Linked DNA regions of Stegostoma tigrinum. The protein of the gene in region 1 purifies or fractionates together with the protein of each later gene. This does not show direct contact. Links are inferred from orthologs where the notes say so. Each region holds a gene or a part of one and is shown on either strand. Other genes may lie near its edges. The genes, in order: dcaf7, csnk2b, protein diaphanous homolog 1-like and cct8.

Region 1 (7,190 bases):
TCTCGCTGAACCTTCTCTGCGGCTGTGACACTTCATTCTACTATCCTGATGCACTTTGTATGATGTGATCTGCCTGTATAGCATGCAAACTAACACTTTTCACTGTATCAGAGTACGTGACAACTACAAATCAATATTTTCACAAACAAACAAATAGGGACTACAACCTTACTACAAGGCAAGATAATCTGTACCTGTTTAACTCTCACACATTCATCCAAGCATAAAGCAGATAGCTTGACATAAATATTAAGGATGGAAAAAAAATAGACAGGGAAAGCAATTTCTGTAGAAGTCCAGACGACAAGGATGTAGCATTATTTCTCTTAGCTCTTTTGTTTATTGCACTGATAACTCAACGATCAACTAAATTTCTTCTAAGCAGTGGGGGAATTCCTCCCAATTCACAACTCGATTCAATCCTTCTGACACTGGGATGAGATTCTATACCCAAAATCCCAGAACATGGTCAATTTTTTTAACATACAAACCCAGAGCAAGAGGACTGTAATGTCCAGAAAAGAGAGCAGTCTTATTCATTTCCAAACACAAGCAACTTACAGCACACTCCATACGGAGCAGTAAGAAAAAGCTGATGGGAAACCCTGTCTGCTGTCTCTTCCTTCGCTGAATAAGATTATGAGATTACAAGAAGAATACCAATGACTGATTGGTTGAGCACAGCTAATGTTACTCAGCGTATGAGTCAAACTAAAGTCTTTTTGGTCTCTGATTTGCTACTTGAGCTTTAGAACAATGCTACACCAGTGATTACATTCATACAAAAACATCTCCTAAAAATTCACAAACATTTTATCCATAAAACACATGAACAATATAAATTTGCTCACACAGCTTGTGTGTTTGGTTGCAGAAGTTTTGTCACCTTGCCAGGTAACATCATCGGCTTGCCTCCAGTGAAGCACTGGTACTCCGTCCTGCTTGTTATTTGTATGCCTCAGTTTGCTGGGGTGGTTGGCATTACTTCTGATTCTGTTTTCAGTGGTGTGTACATCAGATCCAGTTCTATGTGTTTGGTGATGGAGTTCTGGTTGGAATGCCAGGCCTCAACGAACTCCCTGCCATGCCTCTGTTTGACTTGTGCTATTATGGATGTGTTGCCCCAGTCGAATTCGTGCTGTTCTTTGTCAGTGTGTATTGAGGCCAGTGAGAATTGGTCAATTCTCTTGGTAGCTAGTTGGTGCTCATGTATCCTTATTGTCAGTTTTCTTCTAGTTTGGCTGATGTAAATGTTTTTCACAGTCCTTGTGTGGTATTTTGTGGATTACAATAGTTTTATTGGTTGTGGGTATGGGATACTTTACATTCGTCAGTGTATGTCGCAGGGTGGTTGTTGGTTTGTGGGCTACCCTGATACCTAGGAGTCTGAGCAGTCTTGTGGTAATTTTGGATATGTCTTTGCTGTACATCTGGCCGTGTTGTGTTACCAACAGGAACGACTAATTTTCTCAAAACACTTGGGCAAAGGGCGGCACAAATTCAACTGGGACAACACATCCGTAATAGCACAAGCCAAACAGAGACATGCCAGGGGATTCCTGGAGACCTGGCATTCCAAACACACTGAACTGGACCTGATATACAAACCACTGAAACACAAAGTTGGAAGTAATGCCAACCAAAGATGTCACAGTCCAAAGATGTGCAGGCTACGTGGATTGGCCATGTTAAATTGCCTGTAGCGTTCAGGGGTGTGAGTGTTATAGGAAGATGGGTCTGGGTGGGTGCTCTAAGGGCCTGTTTCCACTCTGTAGAGAATCTAATCTAACCGAGGCACATAAACAACAAGTGGTTCAGAACACCGACGCTTCATTGGAGATGCACTGACAATGTTATCTAGCAGGGTGACAAAACATCTGCAACCAAACACACCGGCTTGGCAAGTAAGCCTACACCCCTCATCCACAACCCGAGCTACAACTCTCCTCAAAAACTTTAAATACGTTAATGCTCTCCAGACTGTACCAGTAAGCTTCAAGACCTGAAAGCCTCTTGTGTCTTTACTGGTTTCACTTCAGACAAATCAGGGCATAAAATAACAAAGCACTAATCATGCATCATGACCAACAACGCAACTGTGGGGAAAACCAAGAAGGTGCTACATTATGGAGAATATTCACTTCTCAAACTAAACTGAAGTTCAACCTGCCTATACAACAACTACCCCCATTACCAAAAGATTAATCAACTGCCAACCTGGCTCACTGCTCACAGGCTATCAAGTACAGGGGAAAAAAATACTGCCATACTTATCCCAATAGCTCACAATGTTGCGTACTATACTTCTCCCAAGCCATTTCCTCCACTACCACTTTATTGTCCACTCCACCGTACTCTCCCTCAACTCTTCACCCCTAAATCGTGCACTCTCATCTCTCCCTAATTTACTTTCATTACTTTCTCTTCCTAAACCCCTCATTCCCCACCCACCTTTTCCTACATCACCCCAATTCCCAGAACCAATCCCTTCTCTCCCTAATCACCCCTCTTCCCCTACTCCCGCCATCCCCAAATCCCCAGACAGGCCTCACTCTGCGGCATCTCCTTACCCTCCAGACCCGTAGATAGTCTCCGGAGGTGGCGAGCAGGTCGGGGTAGACGCCCTTGGTGTCGGGGATCCACATGATCTTGGTGGTGGGATACGGATGGTCGAAGGTGTTGCGAGCGATGAACTCGGAGCTCTCCTCGTCCAGGCCCACGATCTGCACCTTGTTGTTGTACTCCTCGACGAAGGAGCCGAGCGCCAGGCGGAACCGCTTGTCGGGCCGCACGCTCCAGTTCATGGCGTACACGGTCCATGGCGCCTCGTACTTATAAATCTCCTTCCTCTTGCCGTGCATGCTCATCTTGGGATGGCGATGTCAGGCCGTGCGCTCGGAGCCCAGCGCGGCCCAGCCTCGCTTGCTCACTCTCACTCTCCCCGTCGCCCTGCTGCCCTGGGCCCGGGCCCAACAACAATAAACCGCTCAAAGTCACAACGGAAACCGACTGCTGACTGACAGCCTCTTTCACCAATCACAGCCCGTCCTTGTCCGAACGACCGTTCGAATAACCAGTCCAGTATAAAGACGGGGGCCGACTTTTGATATCTTGGCTTTGATTGGTAAAAATGTTAAAGCGCCGAATGAGTGACATAGAATCTACCCAATCGAAACCAGCCAATGAGGCGGGCGCTGACCCCGTCCTTGATTGACAGCTGTGCGGACAAAAGAATTCTGGGAACCTGATAGGCGGTTTTTTTTGTCCGTTGCTGGGTGAGTTTTGAACATCAAACACGACCTTCAGCTTGATTGACAGTGGTTTCACCAATCAGAGTGAGTATGAGAGGCGCAGGCCCAGTGGCTGATTAGATAATTAGCGGGCAGTTATACATTGGGACCAAAGATTCGCGCGCCCTACACGCTCTGATGGGCAACGAAGAAAGCCAATCATAGGGGAGGCGGGCTTTCCGTGTCCCGAGACGGTATTGAATGACAGCCGTGCGGACCAATCGAAAGCAGGTTCCCGGCTTGATGCACTGCGGCCCTCCCCCATCACCCTCACACCCACAGTTGGTGGATGGTCATGATACAATGTCCAAATTCCCGCCCTAACCCACTCCGGAAGTTTGTGGAGAGCAAACCGTGAGTGAGATTCCCCAGAGGTCATTCTGGGTCAGATGGTGGTTATTCAAACTGGGACCCCCACCGTTACACCACCCTCCCCACACATGCCCATCCAGGCCTTGACCGTCTCAATCTATCAAGTCAGCTCCCTCTCTCAACCTTTCTCCATTATGTTCCTAACTTGTAGATGGTTCACATGGATGATCTCTGTAATGGTAGGTTTAATGTACAATGAACGGCTGAGGATCCTGGGATTGTACTCATTAGCGTTTAGAAGGTTGAGGGGAGATCTAATAGAAACGTACAAGATAATGTATGGTTTAGAAGGGGTGGAATTTAGGAAGTTGTTTCCGTTAGGCAGGGAGACTAGGACCCGTGGGCACAGCCTTAAAATTAGATGGGGTAAATTTAAAATGGAAATGAGACATTTCTTCAGCCAGAGAGTGGTGGGCCTGTGGAATTCATTACCACGGAGCACAGTGGAGGCCAGGACATTGAATTCTTCACGGCAGACGTTGATAAATTCTTGAGCTCACAAGGAATCAAGAGGTACGGGGAGAGTGCAGGGAAGTGGAGTTGAAATGCCCATCAGCCATGATTAAATAGCGGAGTGGACTCGATGGGCTGAATGGCCTTACTTCCGCTCCTATGTCTTATGTTCATATGGTGGACTGGTTCTGAGGAGTAGAGGAGAACCGACTGCACGATTCGCGACACTTATATTCATTGAATCTATAAGGCTAGTCCAGTCAGATTTCTGGGCAATGGCAATGGGAAAATCTCTGTTGGAAATGGTCATTGCCAGTCATACAAGTGACATAAACGTTAGCTGTCACCTATCATCCAAACCTGAATGAAAACACAGAATGTTTTAGTATCTAAGGTGTTCAACAGTGCAAAACAGCCCACTTCTGATTTTTGGGGAGAGATGACTGTCGATGAAGACGCTGGGGTTAGAACACTACCTCATAGAAATTCTACAGCACTTTCCTTGGGCTGAGGATAAATGGCCAACAAGCACAATCACCTTCCTTTGTGCTAGTAATGACTCCAAGCAGTGGAAAGATTTTTCTAGTTCCAACTGATTTTAATTTTACTGACAATTTCACTCACCTCACCTCACTTCTGAAATTGAAACTTTTTTTCCTTATGTTTCACACAAATCTGTAACGAGGTGGGACAAACAACCAAAACTCAACATTTATTAACAGGTTAGCGTTGGATAAGTACTTACAGAAACAATCAATTTCAATCAGTTTGTGGATGACCAAGAGAAGATTGATGGAATAATAATTGCAAGATTCAATTTACATTGTTTTTTGCAGACAGAAATTACTGGACAATTTTCTTCCTTGTCAGATAGTGCCAGTATTGTACCTGTTTTGGAACAGCTTGACCAGTCTTCACAAATCTGGAACATGACTCTTTATTACTACAGTCAGGTTGTTGTAAGATCCAATAATCTTTGCTGCATCCAGTCAATTAAAATGTTTCTTGATTTCACGTGAAGTGAATTAAATTGGCTGACAACTGGTATTTATAATATTGGGGATCTCAGAGAAAGGCGAGATGAATTGTCCACTCAGCACTGGTGGCTGATGATAGCAAATTCTTCAACCTGTCTTTTGCTCTCACTTGCAGGCCTCAATCATAGCTTAGAAGGTTTTTGGAACTTTGTTTTAGAACATAGAACAGCAGAGGAACAGGCCCTTTGGCTCACAATGTCCATGCTGACCATGATGCTATTCAAATCCCACCTGATTGTACATGATCAATTTCCCTCAATTCCCTGCATGTTCCTGTGGCTAAATCTCTCTTAAATGTTGCTATCATATCACCTTCCCTAGCATCTCTTCTTGTTAAGTAAACAAAGTTGCTGGAAAAGCTCAGTAGCACCCGTGAAGGAAAAAACAGAGTTAATGTTTCTGGTCCAGTGACCCTTCCTCAGAACGCAGCTCTCAATGTCTCAGAAATCAGGGTCACCGGATCAGAGATGCTAACTCTGTGTTTTTTCCTTCACAGATGCTGCCAGAGCTTTTCCAGCAACTTGGTTTTTGTTCCTGATTTACAGCATCCATAGTTCTTTCGGTTTTTTATATCTTCTTGTTAGTTCTGTCATTGTCTATCACTGTGCATAACCTAGAAACATTAGGGACTGCAGATACTGGAAGCCAGAGTCAATAGATGTGAATCTGGAAAGGCACAGCAGCTCAGACAGGATGCTGCCTGACTTGCTCTGCTTTTCCAACTTCACTTTTATTCATTATTCATAACCTGATGTGGCAGGTAGATCCTGGTTCATGGAGATACATCAGGAACCAATAACCATCACCCAGGACTGTAGAAGACCCACTGCTCTTGGGTTCGGTGTGGCCAGTCAATTCAGTTTGGTTGTTGGGAACAAGCCAGGAGCAATTCTAGCACGGTGATTTCTGTTCAGCCAGTGATGGTAGCACTTCAAAGCTTGGTTACGATCCACTATTATCCACAATAAAAGCAGACAGTTGTAGTTTCTACAATGTATGGTTCTCCAGAACAAGCGAAGCTGTCTCAATACAGCATCTCCCTGTGTTGGTTGAGGCTTGGCGGTGGAGTGCCTGCCCAGTGGGGAGCATGTAGATGGATGGCACCGAACAGGGAATATGCACCAGATGAGATAGCACTTGGAGATTAGAACAGTTCTAACCCGCACAGATGTGGGCTTCTGGCATCAGATGACTTTGACATAAGGAATGTGGCAGAGTTTCTGGGCAGTTTTGCCCAGAACATGGTCACAGAAGACCCAGCATCAGGAAAGGAGAGGTGTGAGAGATAGGGAGCTGGATCATGGGGATTTAAGACAAGTCAATAAGAAAGGGCCACATGGATTATTGTGAGACTCTCAGACTGGTGATGGAGCAAATGTATCAGGGGAATTAATATGAGGCTAACTGGCTGGTGTGGGAAAGAGAGGCACTTTTTCATGCACCACGTCAGCAATTCTAGGACAGAAAGAAGATGCACCAATCAAACATATTGTATCTGAACTGGGATGAGACCCACGTCCTGGCAGAAAGGATGATAGCAAAAGTTTTGAAGTAGTAAGATGGTAGGGTGAGTGATCCAGAAGAACTATAAGTGGCCTTATTGTAAGCAGAAAAAGGCAGGATATTACAGGAAAGACTTAAGGCAAAAAATTGATGGCTTGGGAATAAATAATAAAACAGGAATCAGATGAGGGTGTAGCAGTAACAGCACTGGACTATTAATCCTTCTTCAGTGACTGCCGCTGGCTTCATCTTAGCCCACGTATATTCCAACTGAAGTTCCATCCTTCATGTTTTGAATCCACCCAGGATTACACCTATCTTCAAAACCTATAATGCTCCTGAGACAGCTACTCCTGCCACATCCTGAGATCCATGTTCAATGCCACTCAGCACCGTAGGCACACTCTTGACTCTCTATCAGTTTACTGTTATCTCAAAACTGTCCCTGTCCGCAGTTCCATTTCACTCATCTCATCCAACACCTTAAAGAGAAAATTTTTCTCTTCAGGCGTTAAGAAACACAAGTTCTGAAAAT
Region 2 (6,839 bases), on another chromosome or scaffold:
GCCCCACTACCCACTAAACCCCACTACGCCCCACTACCCACTAAACCCCACTACGCCCCACTACCCACTAAACCCCACTACGCCCCACTACCCACTAAACCCCACTACGCCCCACTACGCCCCACTACCCACTACGCCCCACTACCCACTACGCCCCACTACCCACTACGCCCCACTACCCACTACGCCCCACTAAACCCCACGCCCCACTAAACCCCACGCCCCACTAAACCCCACGCCCCACTAAACCCCACTACCCACTAAACCCCACTACCCACTAAACCCCACTACCCACTAAACCCCACTACACCCCACTACGCCCCACTGAGCCCCACTACCCACTAAACCCCACTGAGCCCCACTACGCACTAAACCGCACTACGCCCCACTACCCACTAAACCCCACTAAACCGCACTACGCCCCACTGAGCCCCACTACGCCCCACTACCCACTAAACCCCACTACGCCCCACTACCCACTAAACCCCACTACGCCCCACTACCCACTAAACCCCACTACGCCCCACTACCCACTAAACCCCACTACGCCCCACTACCCACTAAACCCCACTACGCCCCACTACCCACTAAACCCCACTACCCCCCACTACCCACTAAACCCCACTACCCCCCACTACGCCCCACTACACCCCACTACCCACTAAACCCCACTACACCCCACTACGCCCCACTACCCACTAAACCCCACTACCCACTAAACCCCACTACGCCCCACTGAACCCCACTACACCCCACTGCCCCACTGAACCCCACTGCCCCACTGAACCCCACTACGCCCCACTACTCACTAGACCCCACTACGCCCCACTACCCACTAAACCCCACTACCCACTAAACCCCACTACGCCCCACTACTCACTAGACCCCACTACGCCCCACTACCCACTAAACCCCACTACGCCCCACTACCCACTAAACCCCACTACCCACTAAACCCCACTACCCACTAAACCCCACTACCCACTAAACCCCACTACCCACTAAACCCCACTACGCCCCACTAAACCCCACTACACCCCACTACCCACTAAACCCCACTACGCCCCACTAAACCCCACTACGCCCCACTAAACCCCACTACACCCCACTACCCACTAAACCCCACTACCCACTAAACCCCACTACCCACTAAACCCCACTACACCCCACTACGCCCCACTACCCACTAAACCCCACTACGCCCCACTACCCACTAAACCCCACTACGCCCCACTACCCACTAAACCCCACTACGCCCCACTACCCACTAAACCCCACTACGCCCCACTACACCCCACTACGCCCCACTACCCACTACGCCCCACTACGCCCCACTACCCACTACGCCCCACTACGCCCCACTACCCACTACGCCCCACTACCCACTACGCCCCACTAAACCCCACGCCCCACTAAACCCCACTACCCACTAAACCCCACTACACCCCACTACGCCCCACTGAGCCCCACTACCCACTAAACCCCACTGAGCCCCACTACGCACTAAACCGCACTACGCCCCACTACCCACTAAACCCCACTGAGCCCCACTACGCACTAAACCGCACTACGCCCCACTGAGCCCCACTACCCACTAAACCCCACTACGCCCCACTACCCACTAAACCCCACTACGCCCCACTACCCACTAAACCCCACTACGCCCCACTACCCACTAAACCCCACTACGCCCCACTACCCACTAAACCCCACTACGCCCCACTACCCACTAAACCCCACTACGCCCCACTACCCACTAAACCCCACTACCCCCCACTACCCACTAAACCCCACTACCCCCCACTACCCACTAAACCCCACTACACCCCACTACGCCCCACTACACCCCACTACCCACTAAACCCCACTACACCCCACTACGCCCCACTACCCACTAAACCCCACTACCCACTAAACCCCACTACCCACTAAACCCCACTACACCCCACTGCCCCACTGAACCCCACTACGCCCCACTACTCACTAGACCCCACTACGCCCCACTACCCACTAAACCCCACTACCCACTAAACCCCACTACGCCCCACTGAACCCCACTACGCCCCACTACTCACTAGACCCCACTACGCCCCACTACCCACTAAACCCCACTACGCCCCACTACCCACTAAACCCCACTACCCACTAAACCCCACTACCCACTAAACCCCACTACGCCCCACTACCCACTAAACCCCACTACGCCCCACTAAACCCCACTACCCACTAAACCCCACTACGCCCCACTACCCACTAAACCCCACTACCCACTAAACCCCACTACCCACTAAACCCCACTACGCCCCACTAAACCCCACTACCCACTAAACCCCACTACCCACTAAACCCCACTAAGCCCCAGCCCCCCAACCTGCAGGCTCATCATAAAACATGGAGCGACGTGCAGAAGATCTCTCGTCCTCCTCCTTGTGACATGCAACAGCAGAACCAGCCATACCTGGCCTCTACCCCAGAGAGGGAGGGGGGATGGGGGAGGGGGGGAGAAGCTCACAGCAACAAAACACCGCATTGAAACAAACCAGGCGATAAGGGCGGTGATGTCTAACCTCGGGCTCGGCAGCCTGTAGGCCGTGCGTGGGATTTCAGTCGATGTGAGGAGCGAGGGGGAAAGACCCACCATCAAACGTGGCCCGACTTCCCGAGAATGGGGGCGGAAGGGGGTGGGGAGAGAATGCGTCACTTCCGGGTGCACCGCCATCAAACCCCGCGACTACATTTACCGTCAGGCAGCGCGCCGCAGGACCAAGCCGCCCGCGCAACGCTCGTCGATTCCGCGCACGACAGAGGTAGTCGGAAGCGCTCAGGCCGCCGCGTTAAATAGTTACCGATCGAATAGGATCGAGCGGTTTTCTTTTTTTTAAACAAAAGGGCTGGCTGTCAAAAATAATAGCCGCCGGTCGAGAGCGAAAAGGAAACGCGCAGAAGGACGAGCGGAGCCCAATCAACGGATCCGTCCGGCCCGGCGCCCTCTCTGATTGGTCTCGGCGGGGCGGGGAACACCACGTGACATGCTCTGACCCCGCCCATTCCACGCCCCGCCCACGTAAGTCTGACGTCGCAGTGCTTCCCGCCCCCACACTAGCCACGCCCCCTTCCCTTGCTGACGCCTAGCCTTAGCCCCGCCCCCGCCGTGCGGCCCACTCACAGAGGCTAACCACGGTTACCTTGTAGGTGTTACATCTCTAACTGTGTAAAACCGCGTGTATTTTCCCATCTGGGGGACGGGGGTGCAGGGCGTATGTTTGCTTTCTCTATGAGGGGAGGTGGGAGTGAAAGAAGTCCGTTAAGATGTACCGGTCAGGGGAGTAGTTGTTTCGTGTGTTACCGATCTGCCGGCTTTCATTATTATTGTGTGTCCCTCCGCCCTATCCCCAGGGTTTCTCCTCATTTCCTGCCCCTCCACGCACCCAGGCACGACCCACTTCCGGTCACCCCGCTCCCCGCAGGCACGACCCACTTCCGGTCACCCCCTCCCCGCAGGCACCACCCACTTCCGGTCACCCTTCCTCAACCCCGCCCCACCACGGCATGACCCACTTCCAGTCACACTTGCTCATCCGCCCCCCCCCCCACCACAGCATGACCCACTTCTGGTCACACTTCCTCAACACCCCCCCCCCACCACAGCATGACCCACTTCTGGTCACACTTCCTCAACACCCCCCCCCCCCACCATGGCATAACCCAGTTCCAGTCACACTTCCTCAACCCCCTCCCTCCCCACCATGGCATGACCCACTTCCGGTCACACTTCCTCAACCCCCCCACCACAGCATGACCCACTTCCGGTCACACTTCCTCAACACCCCCCCCCACCATGGCATGACCCACTTCCGGTCACACTTCCTCAACACCCCCCCCCCACCATGGCATGACCCACTTCCGGTCACACTTCCTCAACTCCCCCGCCACCATGGCATGACCCACTTCCAGTCACACTTCCTCAACCCCCTCCCTCCCCACCACAGCATGACCCACTTCCGGTCACACTTCCTCAACACCCCCCCCCACCATGGCATGAACCACTTCCGGTCACACTTCCTCAACCCCCCCCCACCACGGCATGACCCACTTCCGATCTTCCCTAACCCCCGCCCCGCCCCAGACATGACCGACTTCCAGTCACCCTTACCCACCAACCCCTCCGACCCAATACCTTCCCTTGTAACTGTAATAGATGCAACACCTGCCCACAAACCACTCCCACTGTGGCCCCAGACGGTCCTTCCAGGTGAGACAGAGCTTCACCTGTATCTCCCACAACCTAGTCTATGCATTCAGTGCTCTCGATGTGGCCTTCTCTCTGTTGGTGAGACCAAATGTACACTTGGTGACTGTTTCGCCAAGCACCTTAACCTGGCTCGTAACAGCCAACCTAACCTCCTGGTCATCACCCATTTCACCTCATCGTCACGCCCCCCACCCCCACCTCACATGCCCATCCTTGGTCTCTTCATGTGGGTGTCACTGCCTAGGGAGCATTTATTTCCCATCGCTGATAACAAAGTGTGGGGCTGGATGAACACAGCAGGCCAAGCAGCACCTCAGGAGCGCAAAAGCTGACGTTTCAGGCATAGACCGTTCTTCAGACCCTTTTTCTGCAGTTCCCATTATCTCTGTTTCCCATCCCTAATGGCCTGGAGGGCAGCTAAGAGTCAGCCACATTGCTGTGGGTCTGCAGTCTGGGCCATTTTCAGTGTTAAGTATGCCGCCTCGCTCCCTCCAAAACAATTGGCTGTGGGTCTGGTTTCCCCCTGTTCAGATCAGACTGTGTAAGGACAGCTGAGTGTGGGACTGACGAGCCTAACACCTTGGAACCAGTTCAGACAAGTTACCCTGGTTCTGATGGACTGCCTGAGTATTTGGGGGAAGCAGATGAAACAAAGCCGGGTCATCTGGCCATGTGAGGAGAATTTAGATTACAACGATGGAAGTTTGGTGAGAGAGGCCGGTTTGGGATGAGGAAAGTAAGGTGGGAAGGCAAGGAGAGTGCAATTCCAAAGCTAGAGTTTGCTGCCTGGGAATCTGAAGGCATGGCCCTGGTGTGGTACTGTGTGAGAATGACCAACAGATCAGGCTGAGAGGAGCATGTATTTGGAGGGTTGTGAGTCTGGGGGCAATTACAGAATGAGGGGAGGTGCCGCGGAGGCATTGGAAAACCAGGATTAATGATCTGATCATGCTCAACACGGCATCTCCCCCTTAGAGACAATCAGGTGGTGGTATGAAGGCACTTGCGCTGTTGAGGTTCATTTTGAGTGCCTGTGTCTGAAGGATTGGTCCATCTGTAATGCAGAAGTGACACCTGGGCTTTCCCCTTCTGTAAATAGATCACTCAAAAGGCTTTGGGATTTTTTCTGGTTTTATTTTGAAGATATTTCCTGGAAGTTATATAGTTGAAGCTGAAATAAAAACAGAAAGTGACTTTCCCAGGCACTTCCAGGTTTTGTTTCTTTGCTATTTGAGTGTTTTGCTGTTGCGTGGCTTTTAAATTTTTTTTATTCATTGAATGTGGGTGTCGCTGGCTCAGCCATATTTATAGTCCATCCCTAATTGCCTAGAGGTCAGTTTAGAGTCAACCACATTGCTGTGGGTCTGGAGTCACGTGTAGGCCAGACTAGGTAAGGCTGGCAGTTTCCTTCCCTAAACGGCATTAGTGAGCCAGATGGGTTTTTCCCAACAATTGACAATGGATTCACAGTCATCCCCCAATAAACACTCCTGGGACAGCTACAGCATGGGGTTAGATACAGAGTAAAGTTCTCTCTCTACGTTGTCCCTATCAGACACATTTATAGTGGAAGGGGGTGTCTCAAATTGGAGACCTGTAACCAGTGGTGTTCCACAGGGATCTGTGCTGGGACCACTGTTGTTTGTGATATATGTAAATGATTTGGAGGAAGGTGTAGGTGGTCTGATCAGCAAGTTTGCTGATGACACTAAGATTGGTGGAGTAGCTGATAGTGAACGGGACTGTCAGAAATTACAGCAGAATATAGATAGACTGGAGAGTTGGGCAGATAAATGGCAGATGGAGTTCAATCCGGGCAAATGCGAGGTGATGCATTTTGGAAGATCTAATTCAAGAGTGAACTATACAGTAAATGGAAAAGTCCTCGGGAAAATGGATGAACAGAGAGATCTGGGTGTTCAGGTCCATTGTTCCCTGAAGGTGACAATGCAAGTAAATAGGGTGGTCAGGAAGGCATATGGCATGCTTTCCTTCATTGGGCAGGGTATTGAGTACAAGAGTTGGCAGGTCATGTTGCAGTTGTATAGGACTTTGATTCGGCCACATTTGGAGTACTGTGTACAGTTCTGGTCGTCACATTACCAAAAGGATGTGGATGCTTTGGAGAGGGTGCAGAGGAGGTTCACCAGGATGTTGCCTGGTATGGAGGGTGCTAGCTATGAAGTGAGGTTGAGTAGATTAGGATTATTTTCATTAGAAAGACGGAGATTGAGTAGGGACCTGATTGAGGTCTACAAAATCATGAGGGGTATAGACAGGGTGGATAGCAAGAAGCTTTTTCCCAGAGTGGGGAACTCAATTACAAGGGGTCATGAGTTCAAAGTGAGAGGAGGAAAGTTTTTAAGGGAGATATGCGTGGAAAGTTCTTTACACAGAGGGTGGTGGGTGCCTGGTACACGTTGCCAGTGGAGGTGGTAGACGCAGACACGTTAGCGTCTTTTAAGATGTGTCTAGACAGATACATGAATGAGCAGGAAGTAGAGGGATACAGATCCTTGTAAAATAGCTGACAGGCTTAGAGGATCTGGATCAGTGCGTTTTGGAGGGGCCGAGGGGCCTGTTCCTG
Region 3 (7,415 bases), on another chromosome or scaffold:
CCGCACAGGACATTGGTTAGACCACTTTTGGAATAGTACATTCACTTCTAGTCTCCCTGCTATAGGAAAGATGTTGTTAAGTTTGAAAAGGTTCAGAAAAGATTTACAAGAATATGGCTGGAGTTTGAGGGTTTGAACTCACGGGAGAAGTTGGGGCAATTTTCCCTGGAGCAGAGGCTGAAGGGTAAACTTAAGGAGGTTTATAAAATCAGAGGTCAATGGTTAGGGTGAATACATAAGCTTTTTCCCAGGGTGGGAGAGTCAAAAACTGGACAGCATAGGTTTAAGGTGAGCGGGGCAAGATTTAAAAGGGACCTAAGGGGCAACTTTTTCTTGCACGACTGGTGTACGTATCAAAATAAGCTGCCAGAGGGAGTGGAAACTGGTGCAACCACAACACCTGAAAGGCACATAGATGGGTATATGAATAAGATGGCTTTGGAGGAGCACGGACCAAATGCTGGCAAATGGGACTACATTAGTTTGAATATTTGTCAGCATGGATGGGTTGGGCCAAAGAGTCTGTTTCCGTGCTTTACAACTCTGACTCTAGAATGGCGAAATTAAGTGTTGCAAACATAGCACATACTACACTTACATAGCATCTTTCACAACACCTGAATTCCCTACAGTACTTTGAATTAAATAAACAATTTTCAAATACAGTCAACCTTTAAACAAGGGAAATACTTCCCAGGTGACCCAACTAGCTTTCCAGGTATGAAGACTTGATTTTATATCTTGCCTTAAACAGCTGAATAACAAATTTAGTCATCATCGTTGCGAAAGCAAATCTAGCCAATCTATGCACAGCAAGGACCCACGAGGAGGAATGAGGCAAATGTTCTGAGGAAGGGTCACCGGACCAGAAATGTTAACTGTTTTCTCCTCCACAGATATTGCCAGACCTGCTGAGCTTTTCCAGCAACTTTGTTTTTGTTCCTGATTTACAGCATCCGCAGTTCTTTTTGTTTTTAAACTTATTTTAGGCTTTCATGGGAAGTAGGCATTGCTGACAAGGTCAGCATTTGTTGCTCATCACTCCAAAAGTCCTTGAAAACTGTTTGTCAAAACTCAATCACATTTCTTTGGATCTTAAGCCACACGTGGACCAAAACAGGTAACTCTGGTAGAATTCCTCCTTTAAATGATAGTAGTGAATGAGCTAGATCTTTACAACAATCAATAACTTCACTGTCACTATGAATAAGACCAGCTTAAAAATTCCAGACTTTATTAATAAAGTTTAGATTCCACCAGCTGCTTTGATGGATTCAAGCTCACGTGCTCCAAATGTTTGCTTGAATCTATGTATAACTAGCTCAGCAACATTTCTCTTATGCCAGTATTATCATGTAAAGACAGTTACATTTGAGATAACTATCATGAAAGGCTATGTTTAAAAAAAGAAGAAAATTGAAGGAAGACGAGACCGGGGACTGTGGTGTGAAGGAAGTGAAAATGCAGACCCTCAGAAGCAACACGAACATTGCAGCAGAAAATTTTGTTGTAAAAATTTTCATATATACACAAGCATAACAACGTTTGGAAATCAAAACATGTGGCTAAGTAGACAACTTTGATTAAAAGACATTAACAGGAGAGCACTGATCCAAGATTTGTAGAATCCAGTGTAACAGACAGCTAGCCACATGTCTAGGTGGTGGAATGAACAACTGGCTCCCCACTACCTTTAGCATACGTCACTGCTGGAGCACCTATCTTAAACATGCAAAAACTCAAAACAGGAATGGCCTTTAGCTCCCCTTTTAAATTTGACCGGACCACATGTTTGCACTGTAGGATTGGTACTGAACAGCCATAATACAGCATTGCTAAGTTTAAAAGAACTTCGAGACTTTATTTGTGCAGTTCAAATTCTGTTCCACTCAACATATACAATGCTGAACAAAAATAATTCTCGCTTGCTGATTTGAATTCAGTGCAGTGACCAACGGAAATCTGAGTACGAACGTGCTAAACAAGTTTTAAACTTTGGCGTGACCCAATGACTATGGACGAGAGAGAGTCAGTGTGCTCGGCAACATGACAGGTTGAGCAGAAATGTGTCAATAGCGAAAAAAAAGACTTTCCTTTTGCAAGTGGGAAGTAGTGCCTTCTGCACGCCCATATAGACACATATTATCAACTCAATACTCCCAATAACCTTCCTTCTCGTGAAAAGTGGGGGCAGCCAGAGCGCCAAAAGGACGGCTGCGCCGAACCACCGACACTGCCTCGACAGTGTTCGTGATGAAATCAAGAAAAAGAAATACACAACTGGGGAGAAAATATATAGAGGCAGCGCCTATTTCAGCTCAGGGGTTGTTCTTTGGGACGCCTCTGTGCCCCTTTGAGAGATGGGGGCCTTCAGAGTACCTGCACAGGCAGGTAAGGGCGCTGCTCTCACAACTGTGGTCTTCAGACAAAGGTGAAACCTTCCACACTTTCACAGCTATCCCCCCAAATTAGAAAATAATTCTAAAGGCAAACATAAGAACTCACAAATTTGGTTTTCTTTTCTCCTTCCTCCAGGCTTTTCTTCATTTTACCGGACTTTTCCTTCCCCCTAGAAGGACCTGAAGCCTCATTCCTTCCCTCCATGGTTTTACTTATTTATTGCTCCCGTGGTAAACTTATTTTCTCCTGAAACCTTTCAGTCTCTAATCTCTTGGATCAACGTATCTCATTCGGCTGCTCTTTCAATGCGGAGGGGTGTAGTGGACTGTTCCTGTCCTTCTCTTTCGAAACCCCTCCCACTCTTGCCAAGCGCTGTGAACGGCTGACGGCCAGAGCCCGGGGCCTAGGCGCGGGCTGCCGGCTGCGATTCCTACTCGAGCCCGCTCAGCGGGGAGGGGTGGAGGGTGTGGTGTTGTAAGTCCCTCCCCTCGCCTCACGGTACTTCTTTTTGCCAAAATGGTAATGACATGCCGTTTCCTTCCAGAAAGTGGGCAGAGAGAACAAACGAAGTTAAAATATTCTGTATAAATTGTTGCAGATGGTTGTGTGTGAGAGACCGGGCAGCGTCTGCCCTTGGAGCCACGCTGCTCCCTCAGCGAGCGCCAGCTCGCGGGAGGGGGCGGGGTCGAGGTGGGGGCACAGGGGAGAAAGGCAATGCTGCACTCCTGCGGCAGGCACTGACACAGTATGAAACACAGCCCCTCAACGCCAGGGATAACAAAGTGTACAGCTGGATGAACACAGCAGGCCTGAATTTTTTTCTGAAGAAGGGTCTAGGCTCGAAACGTCAGCCTTCCTGCTCCTTTGATGCTGCTTGGCCTGCTGTGTTCATCCAGCTTTGTTACCACATAGCTTGCCATTACACACCTCCTGTTGTTGGTCACTAACAATCCCCGTTAACAATTATTCACTCTCCCAGCCTGATCGTTAGTAACTCTGTTGTCTGTCCAAGTGTCTTTCTCTCTCTTCTATCCTATCGTTTACTCCCTACCCCACCCACCTCGCGAATTTCTGCATGTAAACTGATGATTTCCCAGCCACCATCAGTTCTGAGGAAGGGTCACTGGACCTGAAACACTAACTCTGTTTTCTTCTTCACAGATGCTTCCAGACCTGCTGAGCTTTCCCAGCAACTTTGTTTTTGTTCCTGATTTACAGCATCTGCAGTTCTTTTGGTTTTTATAAAACAAATACATTTGGTCTCAGGTTAAAAATCTTAACACTTCAAGGAGTCAAAGGACAATAAAACTGCATAACCTTGTCTGTATCAGATGCTTTCTCTTTTAAAGTTATGTCATGCTGTATGTATTTGATGTGCTTTTATTATATTTTTAATTTCAAAATGTCTTTTTTTCTTACATTCAAGTAAACATTGTAATTGGCTTCTTCATTTTGATCGATGTAATCGCATTTTAAATGACACTTCATATAGCTGTGTGGCGGCATGATGGCTCAGTGGTTAACACTGCAGTCTCACAGCACCAGGGACCCAGGTTCAATTCCAGCCTCGGGTAACTGTCTGTGTGGAGTTTGCACCTTCTCCCCGTGTGCGTGGGTTTCCTCTGGGTGCTCCGGCTTTCTTCCACAGTACAAAGATGTGCAGGCTAGATGGATCAGCCATGCTAAATTGCCCGTAGTGTTTAGGGGTGTATGGGTTATAGGGGGATGGGTCTGGGTGGGATGCTTCAAGGGGAGGTGTGGACTTGTTGGGCCGAAGGGCCTGTTTCCACACCGTAGGGAATCTAAAAAACTTTTAAAAATTTTTTTGAAATTGATAGAGAGAAAGTTAAAAAGGAGATAGTGGGAACTGCAGATGCTGGAGAATCCAAGATAATAAAGTGTGAAGCAGGATGAACACAGCAGGCCAAGCAGCATCTCAGGAGCACAAAAGCTGACGTTTCGGGCCTAGACCCTTCATCAGAGAGGAGGATGGGGTGAGGGTTCTGGAATAAATAGGGAGAGAGGGGGAGGCGGACCGAAGATGGAGAGAAAAGAAGATAGGTGGAGAAGAGAGTATAGGTAGGGAGGGGATAGGTCAGTCCAGGGAAGACGGACAGGTCAAGGAGGTGGGATGTGGTTAGTAGGTAGGAAATGGAGTTGCGGCTTGGGGTGCAAGGAAGGGATGCGTGAGAGGAAGAACAGATTAGGGAGGCAGAGACAGGCTGGGCTGGTTTTGGGATGCAGTGGGAGAAGGGGAAGAGCTGGGCTGGTTGTGTGATGCAGTGGGGGGAGGGGACGAACTGGGCTGGTTTTGGGATGTGGTGGGGGAAGGGGAGATTTTGAGCCTGGTGAAGTATACATTGATACCATTAGGGCTGCAGTGTTCCCAAGCGGAATATGAGTTGCTGTTCCTGCAAACTTCGGGTGGCATCATTGTGGCACTGCAGGAGGCCCATGATGGACATGTCATGTAAAGAATGGGAGGGGGAGTTAAAATGGTTCGTGACTGGGAGGTGCAGTTGTTTATTGCGAACCAAGCGGAGGTGCTCTGCAAAGCGGTCCCCAAGTCTCCGCTTGGTTTCCCCAATGTAGAGGAAGCCACACCGGGTACAATGGATACAGTATACCACATTGGCAGATGTGCAGGTGAACCTCTGCTTAATATGGAAAGTCATCTTGGGGCCTGGGATAGGGGTGAGGGAGGAGGTGTGGGGGCAAGTGTAGCATTTCCTGTGGTTGCAGGGGAAGGTGCCGTGTGTAGTGGGGTTGGAGGGCAGTGTGGACTGAACAAGGGAGTCATGGAGAAAGTGGTCTCTCCGGAAAGCAGACAAGGGTGGGGATGGAAAAATGTCTTGGGTGGTGGTGTTGGATTGTAGATGGCGGAAGTGTCGGAGGATGATGCGTTGTATCCCGAGGTTGGTGGGGTGGTGTGTGAGAACGAGGGGGATCCTCTTTGGGCAGTTGTGGCATGAGGGATGTGTTGCGGGAGACGCAGTCAAGGGCGTTCTCGACCACTGCGGTGGAGGAAGTTGCGGTCCTTGAAGAACTTGGACATCTGGGATGTGCGGGAGTGGAATGCCTCATCGTGGGAGCAGATGCGGCGGAGGCGGAGGAATTGGGAATAGGGGATAGAATTTTTGCAGGAGGGTGGGTGGGAGGGAGGAGGTGTATTCTAGGTAGCTGTGGGAGTCGGTGGGCTTGAAATGGACATCAGTTACAAGCTGGTTGCCTGAGATGGAGGCTGAGAGGTCCAGGAAGGTGAGGGATGTGCTGGAGATGGCCCAGGTGAACTGAAGGTTGGGGTGGAAGGTGTTGGTGAAGTGGATGAACTGTTCGAGCTCCTCTGGGGAGCCAGAGGCGGCGCCGATACAGTCATCAATGTAACGGAGGAAGAGGTGGGGTTTGGGGCCTGTGTAGGTGCGGAAGAGGGACTGTTCCACGTAACCTACAAAGAGGCAGGCATAGCTGGGGCCCATGCAGGTGCCCGTGGCCACCCCCTTTGTAGGATGTGGGAGGAATCGAAAGAGAAGTTGCTGCTTTACTCTTCCTCTCTTGGTTGTAACAGTAAGTAAATCTTTCTTTCAAAGCAAAAGCAACATGCAGCAGATGGTTTTCAGCCTGGTACTCTCAAGCTCTGTGTAATAGTTCTGCAGCTTATGATTTTCAAATTCTTTGCAATCGGTTTTTCTAGTAAAAGCTTGCAGCTCTACTTGCATTACTCCTTGCCTTTTAGCCTTCCTCTTTTAAACTCTCCATCATTTCTTACAGCTTATCATTGGCGTCCAGTCATTCAATGATACAGTGTTGGGCTAAATATGCGCTTCGCCAATTTGCTGTCTGAGCTCAATACTGTCATTCTTTACTTTGTCAAGTGCTTCTATTTGAAAAATGTGCCATTGAAGTTTTGCCTTGAAGTTTCAGGATCTCCCTCTCGAATGTCTTGTCTGTTGGCTGTACAGCTTGCAGATTCACTTCCATATCCTGTTTTTCAGATTGCAACATTATATCGTGCTAGGCCTTCGAGCTTTCTGGGGTGGCAACTTTATTCTCTCGTTTTAGCTTTTCACCCTTTAAAGTATTTCCATTTCATTTTGAAAGTTTATGGAAAACTTCTTATATAAATAGCAGATAAATTCTAAACCAACTCTTTCCTTTTCAGTCCTGGAGTATCTTTTCATATTGGCCTTGAACAGTTAAATATCTATCAGCAACCTACTCACTTGGTTTTGAATGAATCACAGTTTTTTGCTTAGATTAATATTTATGTGAATCAAAACCTTTTCAAAAAGCAACCACCTCATCAAAGAAGCATCACATTTAAGAGACATCTGAATGAGTACTTAAAACGTCAGGGCATATTAGGCTATGGACCAAATGCAGGTAAATAGGATTTGTATAATTTGTTGGTCTGTATACACATGGTGGGCCGAAGGGCCTGCCACTATGTTCCGTGACTCTATGACTCAAAATTCTCCCTGATTCATTTGTGCTACTTCTTTAGGAGGGTGCTCTTCAAAGGATATGCTACCTTAGTTCAGTTGGTTGTAGAGCTGGTTTGCGATGCAAACTGATGGCAGTGGCATGTGCTCAATTTCTGCACCAATTGACATTACTGTGAAGGACTCTCCTTCTCAACATCTCGACTGAAGTGTGGTGACCCTCAGGTTAAATAACTTCTGACCGTCTCTGTCATGCGCCTTTTCACTCTGCAAATTTCTCTTTTAAGTAGCTCATGCACTTTTTGTGCTCCTCTAGGGCTGTTTTGAGCCCTTGATATCCACTTAAATCTTCCCTTTCTCTTTATCCAGCACTGAAAAATTCACTGATATCCAGGGATCTCTGGAATATTTGGCCCCGCTATTCACTTTACAGGAACACGTAGGTCCCACACTTTCAACGTTTCCTCATTTCCCTTGGCGCTGATGTAAATTTTTCAATACATAGCCATTTCCGGTTCACATTGGGCCATTCATAGAACATAGAACATAGAACAGTACAGCACAGAAGAGGCACTT
Region 4 (7,742 bases), on another chromosome or scaffold:
ACTGGCCTGGCCAGCAGCATCAATATCCCAGGAATTAAAAAAAACACACGCCAAAACTGAAATGAAAGCAAAACTTTTTTGAAATCTACCAACCTCTGAAACTGAAAGACCCATTCGCAGAAGTTCCTCAGCTAGCTCCAGTAGTGCGCCAGAAAAAACTAGAACAAAATTTGTTCCATCTCCAACCTCTTGTTCCTGCATATGGGAAGCCATTACCACCATCTTTGCAGCAGGATGTTGAACCTGCATCCAGTAAGTACAAGAATTAAAACAAATTAGCAAAAAGTAGAACAAAAATTCTTGATGCATTTAATTGTTTACAATAACAATTTCCATGCTGTGGGCAAGTATTAAGACTGGTTCAAATGACTATAGTTACTGCTACAGAAAAACATCTAAAAGGATGTTTTGATGCTCATCTCAAAACGTATAGATGAATTTTCACAACTTTTATTTACAGTACCTAAGTAGGCTTTTCAAGGAGCTTCACAAATATATTGATATTAGGATAGGAAAACTAAAAGTGTCTTCAAATAGATAAGTTTTAAAGCACATTGGCAAAGAGAAGATAGATGCTCAGAGAGTTCAAAGGAAGGTTTTCAAAAACTTACAACCCAAACAGCAGAAGGCTCAACAGTTAAAAGGGGATCAAAAATTAGGATTACACAAAAGGCAGAGCTGATTAAGATGCTGCAGGGGAGTGGTCATGTAAGATGAATTGAGATGAGAATTTTATACGAGTGGCAAAAGGAAATCTATTTATCATAGGTAAAGGGATACACAAAATACACAAATTTTAAGCAAGGCTGAAGATCAATTTGCTTCAAACCAGAGCTAAGTTAATTCCAAATCAATTGATACTTACCTATTTAAAAGTTTAGATCTAAACATAAGAAAACAAAATTACCAACATTTGACTTTCTCTCTAAGCAAAGAAAGGAATGTAAATTTGTGTACCCTAAAAAGGAGATCACTGATGGGATTGAGGGTTGGGTTTGAACCGCATTTCCATATACTCTTCTGAATGGAATGCAATGAAAATATGCATCAGCTCAGTGAATATCACTAATATTAAAAAGTAAACATCCAAACTTACAAAAACTTTTATTTAAAAAAAACACAATCTTGTCACCCAGCCTTTGAAAGAATTATCATTTTCTCTGGCTCTCTAGCCTTCAATTAAGAAAGCTTTACTTTGCAAGTCAAGAGCTGATACTAATATTGGTATATCAAACTGGACTGAGGTGGTATTGAGGCTTAGTCAGTGAAAGCACATGCCTTGTAAATAAGAGATAACTAAGAGTTTCAATGTTAGTGGCAGTTTTCAGCCCAAAGAGCCTGAGAATGAACAGAACTGTTGTGGCACAGTCTTAATATCCCTGCCTCTGAGCTAGGAGGCCTGGGTCAATATGTATACACAAACATTTCTGTACAGGTTGCACACAAAATATTGAAACTGGATTGCTAATGCCTCTAATGGTGCAGTGGCAGAACTCCTACTTCTGGACCTAGATTCAAGTTCTACCTGCATCAGAGGTGAGCAATAAGACCTCAGAGGAGTTGATTAGAAAATATCTTGAAACTGGATTGTTAGAAGTGAAGTGACTCAGCACCTACCTCCAATTCTCGTAGTATAGTAGCAGCATCACTGGTAACAAAAAGTTTCTCCACATGATTGATGACCATTTTATTCATTCCTAAAAGGAAGATTTTTAACAAATAAACACCAGTAGTAAAACTGAAACAAAACACTTGCTCCAAATTATGAGAGGCAATATAATTGTACCATTTGGACCATAAGCTGTACGGGTAGTCTGAGCCAGTTCCTTGCAAGCTTGAATATTCCTGTAAACTGCCTCCTCCAAACCTGAAAAATGCTGAAATGTAAATGAATACAGATAAATAACAATTCCAACTTGCAGAATTACGATTTACATTCGCAGCAAAGGGGATGCGGGGGGGGATGTGGATCGGCGAGTGGATGGCGGACTGGGGGCAGGGTGGGGGGAGTGGATGGCGGCAGGGTGGGGGGAGTGGATGGCGGCAGGGTGGGGGGAGTGGATGGCGGCAGGGTGGGGGGAGTGGATGGCGGACTGGGGGCAGGGTGGGGGGAGTGGATGGCGGACTGGGGGCAGGGTGGGGGGAGTGGATGGCGGACTGGGGGCAGGGTGGGGGGAGTGGATGGCGGACTGGGGGCAGGGTGGGGGGAGTGGATGGCGGACTGGGGGCAGGGTGGGGGGAGTGGATGGCGGACTGGGGGCAGGGTGGGGGGAGTGGATGGCGGACTGGGGGCAGGGTGGGGGGAGTGGATGGCGGACTGGGGGCAGGGTGGGGGGAGTGGATCGCGGACTGGGGGCAGGGTGGGGGGAGTGGATCGCGGACTGGGGACAGGGTGGGGGGAGTGGATCGCGGACTGGGGACAGGGTGGGGGGAGTGGATCGCGGACTGGGGACAGGGTGGGGGGAGTGGATCGCGGACTGGGGACAGGGTGGGGGGAGTGGATGGCGGACTGGGGAACAGTTTGGGGGCAGATTAAAGACAGGGACAGCGTGGATTAGGCACTCTGAGTGGGGGGGCGGGGGAGGCCCGGCATCTCCATCGTTCCACCTCCCGACACTAGGCCTCTGACCGCCCCGAACACATGGAGGTCGAAGATAGTCTCAAGCCTCGGTATACAGTGGGTTCGAGCAGAGTGCCTGGACCAGTGAAAATAGGGAGGTTCGCGGCGGGAATCCGTCGGCCGCCGCCGATGCTTCTCGGCCTTTCTGGAACTTTCTGACATCACGCGCTCCCCTTTCAACGACCGAAACATCCCTCAATCCGAGTCCCTGATGTCCCTTCCACGGGCTCTCCGTTTCACAAACTTACCTTAGCTCCGTCTTTTAGCATCTGAGCCAAGCCCGGCGCTCGAGGGATGTGCATCGCCATTTCCAGATACTTTTCCTCGCTCAAACCCCAGCCAACAGGATCACAACGCCGGAGACGAACACCCACAGTGCACCGCAGCCGTGCCCTACGTCCCAGCTGTCACCGCGCCCTGTCGTGCCCTTCCTCCCAGCTGTCACCGCGCCCAGTAATGTTGTGAAGGAATTCTCATTGCCAGAAGTTGGTATTTTACGTTGTTTTAAGCCTTACTCGCCTAATTTTCTGTGCTTAACCTGTGAGGATACCGAAGCAAAGTAAAACATCACTCTAGCTTTCACTTTCCTTTGGCTATGAATAATTCTTTGACCTTACATTCATTTCATGCATCAAGTTGAACTGAGTAATGTCTGTGCAATTATCCTCTCCAAGTTAGCTGTTAACTATTGGCGTCTGTTGGCACTTCTCAGTTTTCCAAATGTGCAACATACTTGAGAGAAGGTGCTGGTACATCGAACCTCTCCCCTGTAGTCATATTTATCAAAACTGTAACAATAACCCATTAAAATACCCCAATGCGTTTTACAGGGGTGTGGACAGACAAATGATCAATGTGAGGTATTAGATCAAGCGGCCGTAAGTTTGATGAAACAAGTAGGCTTTAATGAATGTCTTTACAACTCTTGCCGTCTCTCAATGGCCCAAGACCATAAGAATCTGTTCTGCCATTCATTAAGATCATGACAGATCTAATATCCTCAACTCCACTTTCCTGTCTTTTCACCATAACTTTTGATTCCTTTGTTGATTATAAGATTGGAGCCTCAATGGTACTTACTGCTAACCACTACCAAAGACTACATTAACTGGATAATGAATTAAACAGAATTGCTTTTCTACTTCGGACATACAGGATGGGTTGATTGGCCACCTGTTTTCTATGATTTATATATTTCTTAAACTCAGAAAATGAGGCAGAGAACTTCAGTGAGCCAAGTTCAAAACTTAGGATGGACAGCTGAAGGCATGCCCACTAACAGAGTGTGGATGGCCAGAATTATAGGTGCACAGAGGGAAGGAAGTGGTGAGATCATAGAGGGATTTAAAAACTTGGATGAATTTTTTAAAATGTTTTTTTTATAATCAGAGGCCAGTGTGGACCAATAAGCATGGGCAAGCATTGTGGGTCATGGGAAGTCAGTCGGGATATTTTGGTAAGGTAAGGAAACAACGATAAGCATTGTTGTCAGGAATCCAGAGAACACTGGCTCTAGTTTTCGGCTTATATAGAGAGGAATATTAAACAAGACGTGCTGCTCAGATGTTTTTATCACTAAAGTAGACCTTATATATTTTCCCGCAAACTGAACTAGGACCTACTTCTACACCCACTAGAGTCATCTGACATTCCCCAAGTAGTGACAGAATATGAAAGCTAATACCTGACCAGGATAGCTGCGACAGCTGATGAGAGCTGACATCAGCCATGTGCTGCATTCGATGTCATTACCATGTCCTATTTTGAGATACTACATTTAATTCCCTCATCTAAATCATTAATTTGTATCGTGAATAGCTGGGATCGTAGTTCTGATCTGGGTAGTCTCTGCCTGCCATTTAGAAAAAGAGCTATTTATTTGTCCTCTTTATTTTCTTTTGGTCTGCTAACCATTTTTTCTATCAATCTCATTACACCACCCCTAATCCCATGTGCTTTAATAATGTGGAACTTTATCAAAAGCCTTCTGAAAGTCCAAATAAACCACGTCCACTGGCTCTGCTGATCAAATCTACTGGTTACACCCTCAAGGAATTCCACTAAACTTATCATGCATGATATGCCTTTTGTAAATCCCCGCTGACTGTGTCTGATAATCCCACTGTTTTCTAAGTGCTCTGCTATAAAATCCTGGATAATAGATTTTAGCATCTTCATCACTACTGACATCAGACCTGTTGGTGTATAATTCCCTGTTTTCTCTTCGCCTGTCGTTTTAAATGGTGGAGCTGCATTAGCTACCCTGTGATTTATAGGAGCTGTTCCAGAGTCTAAAGAATCTTGGAAGGTGACCACCAATGCACCCACTATTTCTCGGTCCAGTTCCTTTAAACCTTTCAGATGTAGATTATCAGACCCTGGGGATTTTTCAGCCTTCCATCTGATCAATTTCAACAACAGCATTTCTCTACTAATACAGATTTTCTTCAGTTCTTCCCTCTCACTAAACCACATGTTCTCCATCATTTGAGGTACATAATTCATTTTTGATGTTTCGTGGGGATTTTATACATTTTGCGATGGCTGTTGAATGGCAGGGTACAATTTCAGCAAACTATTCCCAGTGAAGTCATGAAAAAAGTGAATAGAAAAACTGTGGCATGTGGATTTCAATGCAGGCAAATGTGAGATTTTCTTCGGACCTAATGGATAGAACAGACTACTTTCCAAATTGAAACAGGTGACAAATGCTGAAGGTCCAAAGGAACTTGGAGTCCAGGTACATGGATTTTTAAAATATGCTGGATGGGTACAGAAAATAGTCAAAAAGGCTAAGGGAATGCTGGTATTTATATCCGGAAGAATTGAATGCTAGAGTGTAGAAATTAAGCTGCAGCTTTACCCAGTTCAGACTGCACCTGGAGGACTATAAGCTGTGCTGGGTACCATAGTTTAGGAAGAATATTCTAACTTTAGAAGGAGTGCATGATAGATTTACCAAAATGATGCCTGGACTCAAAAGGTTAAATTGGAGGAAGCACTGAGGGTGGCAAGGGAATAGGCTGTATTCTGGTTGGGGGACTTTAATGATCCATAAACAAGAGTGGCTCTAAAACACCAGACTAACCAAGGTAGCCAAACCCTAAAGGACTGGGCCTTTGGTAGGTGATGAAGGGACCGACAAGAAGGGAAAACACACTTGACCTCAGCCTCACCAATCTACCCACCATAAGTGCATGAATCCATGACAGTATTGGCAGGAGACACCAGTGGACAGTCATTGTGAAGTTGAAGTCTTCACATTGAAGGTATCCTTCATGGTGTTGTGTGACACGATCATCATGGTAAATGGGATAGAATTCACACTGATCTAGCAATTCAAGATTGGGCATCTAAGAGATACTGTGGGCCACAGCAGCATCGGAATTGTATTCAACCATAATTTGTAATTTTGAGAAGCTGGTAGTGAGCTGGCTTCTTGCATCACTGCAATTCATGTAGTGTATGGAGGGAGTTTGGGATTCTGATCCATGATGCCATAAGATATAAGACCAAAATTAGGCGATTCAGCCCTTCTACTCCATCATGGCTGATGTATTTCTCAATCCTATTCTTCTGTTTTCTCCCCACAACCTCTGATCCTACCAATCAAGAACTTACCTATCTCTGTCTTAACATCACTCAATGACTTGGCCTCCACAGACTACTGAGACAATGAGTTCCACAGACTCACCACTCTCTGGTTGAAGAAAAAACTCCTCATTTTAGCTCTAAAAGGTCACCCATTCACTCTGAGGAAAAACTCAGTGGATCTGGCAGCATCTGTCAAGAGAAAGTAGAGTTAATGTTTTGGGATCAGTGACCTTTCTCTTTTAGCTTGGAAAAGGTTGGTTTGTGTATTGAAGATAGGGTGAGGGAGGGAGGAGGAGTAAATGATAGATAAAGATGGAGCCCAGAGAGAAAAAAATAGTTGGGTAGACACAGGAATCGGCAAAGGTCAGCCTGGGAGAATGTACAACTGCTAATGGGGACCATTTGTAGCTCGCAATTGAATGTTTGTGGTATCAGCTCATGAGATGACAAGGCCTGAAGTGTGGGGGTCGGCCTAAGGACATGGGAGAAGGTGGTCAAGACCTAAAATTATTGAACTTGATGTTGAGTCCCGAAGTTTCCAGAGTCCCAAAGTGGAAAATGAAATGCTATTCTTTCAGCTTGCACTGACCGCCTACCACAGTCTAACAGCTATGTCCTTCCAGGTTTGGCTGGCTTGGTCAGTCTGCTGCTACAGAGCCATTCTTGTTTAAGGACTATTAAAGTCCACCAAGCAGATTAAAGTCTGTGCTTTTTCCACCTTTCGTACTTCCTCCAATTTAACCCTGAACTTTGCTGGAGCACTGCAGCAAGCCTGAAACAGAGATGTTGGCTAGGGAACATGGTGGTGGGTTGAAGTGGCTTACAGCAGGAAGCTCAGGATTGTTTTTGCGGACAGAACGTAAGTGTTCTGCAAAGCATTTGCCCAGTCTGTGTTTTGTGTCCTCAATGTAGAACAGACCACATTATGAGTAGCAAATACAGTAGACTGTGGACATTAAAGGCCCCAAATGGTCTGAGGTTGGGCATTCTTCGGTGAATATCTCACTTCCCACAAAAACTGTTCACCATCTATTTAGTACAAGTTAGGAATGTGATTGAATGTTTCACTGCTCACTATGCGGTCTGCTGTACATTGGGAGGATGAAATGCAGACTGAGTAACTTCTTGGCAGAACAGATTTGCTTTGCGTTTAGTGACAGATTTCTGATCAAAATGAAAGTAGTGGCAGGAAGAGTGAAAATTGGTATAAAAGCATTCTGGCTAGTAATTGAATAAAACAGCATGAATTTGTATTCCTAATCACTAGTAGTGACCCTGTATGGAAAATAGAGATTGTGTAAAAGCAGAATTGAGCCTCAGCCCTCGTCATCCCTGCAGTTAATAAGTTATGACACTCAGTTTCTATGCTTTCAGATGAAGAATGATCACATGGACAAATCACCAAAGGGTTTCTGTTCTCTTTCTAACTTCATATGGCTTAACTTAGCATCTTAAGGGCAGAAATGAGGACAAATATTGATAAATGCATATTATTTTCTTTTAATTTGTGCATAAAGTTATTGATTTC

The links.
Region 2: the proteins of dcaf7 (region 1) and csnk2b purify together in Homo sapiens (affinity purification with mass spectrometry; 4 studies listed by BioGRID and IntAct, with this or other methods). This does not show direct contact. The link is inferred for Stegostoma tigrinum from reciprocal best matches to the Homo sapiens genes DCAF7 and CSNK2B.
Region 3: the proteins of dcaf7 (region 1) and protein diaphanous homolog 1-like purify together in Homo sapiens (affinity purification with mass spectrometry; 5 studies listed by BioGRID and IntAct, counting the BioPlex papers as one, with this or other methods). This does not show direct contact. The link is inferred for Stegostoma tigrinum from reciprocal best matches to the Homo sapiens genes DCAF7 and DIAPH1.
Region 4: the proteins of dcaf7 (region 1) and cct8 purify together in Homo sapiens (affinity purification with mass spectrometry; 3 studies listed by BioGRID and IntAct, with this or other methods). This does not show direct contact. The link is inferred for Stegostoma tigrinum from reciprocal best matches to the Homo sapiens genes DCAF7 and CCT8.

What each region holds. Positions count from the first base shown.
Region 1 is NC_081384.1:38,612,656-38,619,845, reverse strand, and holds the start of dcaf7 (DDB1- and CUL4-associated factor 7), read right to left. Parts: upstream 3,023-7,190; 5' UTR 2,868-3,022; coding exon 2,571-2,867; intron 1-2,570. UniProt on the Homo sapiens protein: Involved in craniofacial development. Acts upstream of the EDN1 pathway and is required for formation of the upper jaw equivalent, the palatoquadrate. The activity required for EDN1 pathway function differs between the first and second arches.
Region 2 is NC_081387.1:27,162,021-27,168,859, reverse strand, and holds the start of csnk2b (casein kinase II subunit beta), read right to left. Parts: upstream 3,018-6,839; 5' UTR 2,847-3,017; exon of another isoform or gene 2,732-2,846; intron 2,701-2,731; exon of another isoform or gene 2,568-2,700; intron 1-2,567. UniProt on the Homo sapiens protein: Regulatory subunit of casein kinase II/CK2.
Region 3 is NC_081366.1:6,063,385-6,070,799, reverse strand, and holds the start of protein diaphanous homolog 1-like, read right to left. Parts: upstream 3,019-7,415; 5' UTR 2,605-3,018; coding exon 2,506-2,604; intron 1-2,505. UniProt on the Homo sapiens protein: Actin nucleation and elongation factor required for the assembly of F-actin structures, such as actin cables and stress fibers. Binds to the barbed end of the actin filament and slows down actin polymerization and depolymerization.
Region 4 is NC_081365.1:60,912,024-60,919,765, reverse strand, and holds the start of cct8 (T-complex protein 1 subunit theta), read right to left. Parts: upstream 3,020-7,742; 5' UTR 2,929-3,019; coding exon 2,869-2,928; intron 1,878-2,868; coding exon 1,787-1,877; intron 1,698-1,786; coding exon 1,618-1,697; intron 244-1,617; coding exon 94-243; intron 1-93. UniProt on the Homo sapiens protein: Component of the chaperonin-containing T-complex (TRiC), a molecular chaperone complex that assists the folding of actin, tubulin and other proteins upon ATP hydrolysis.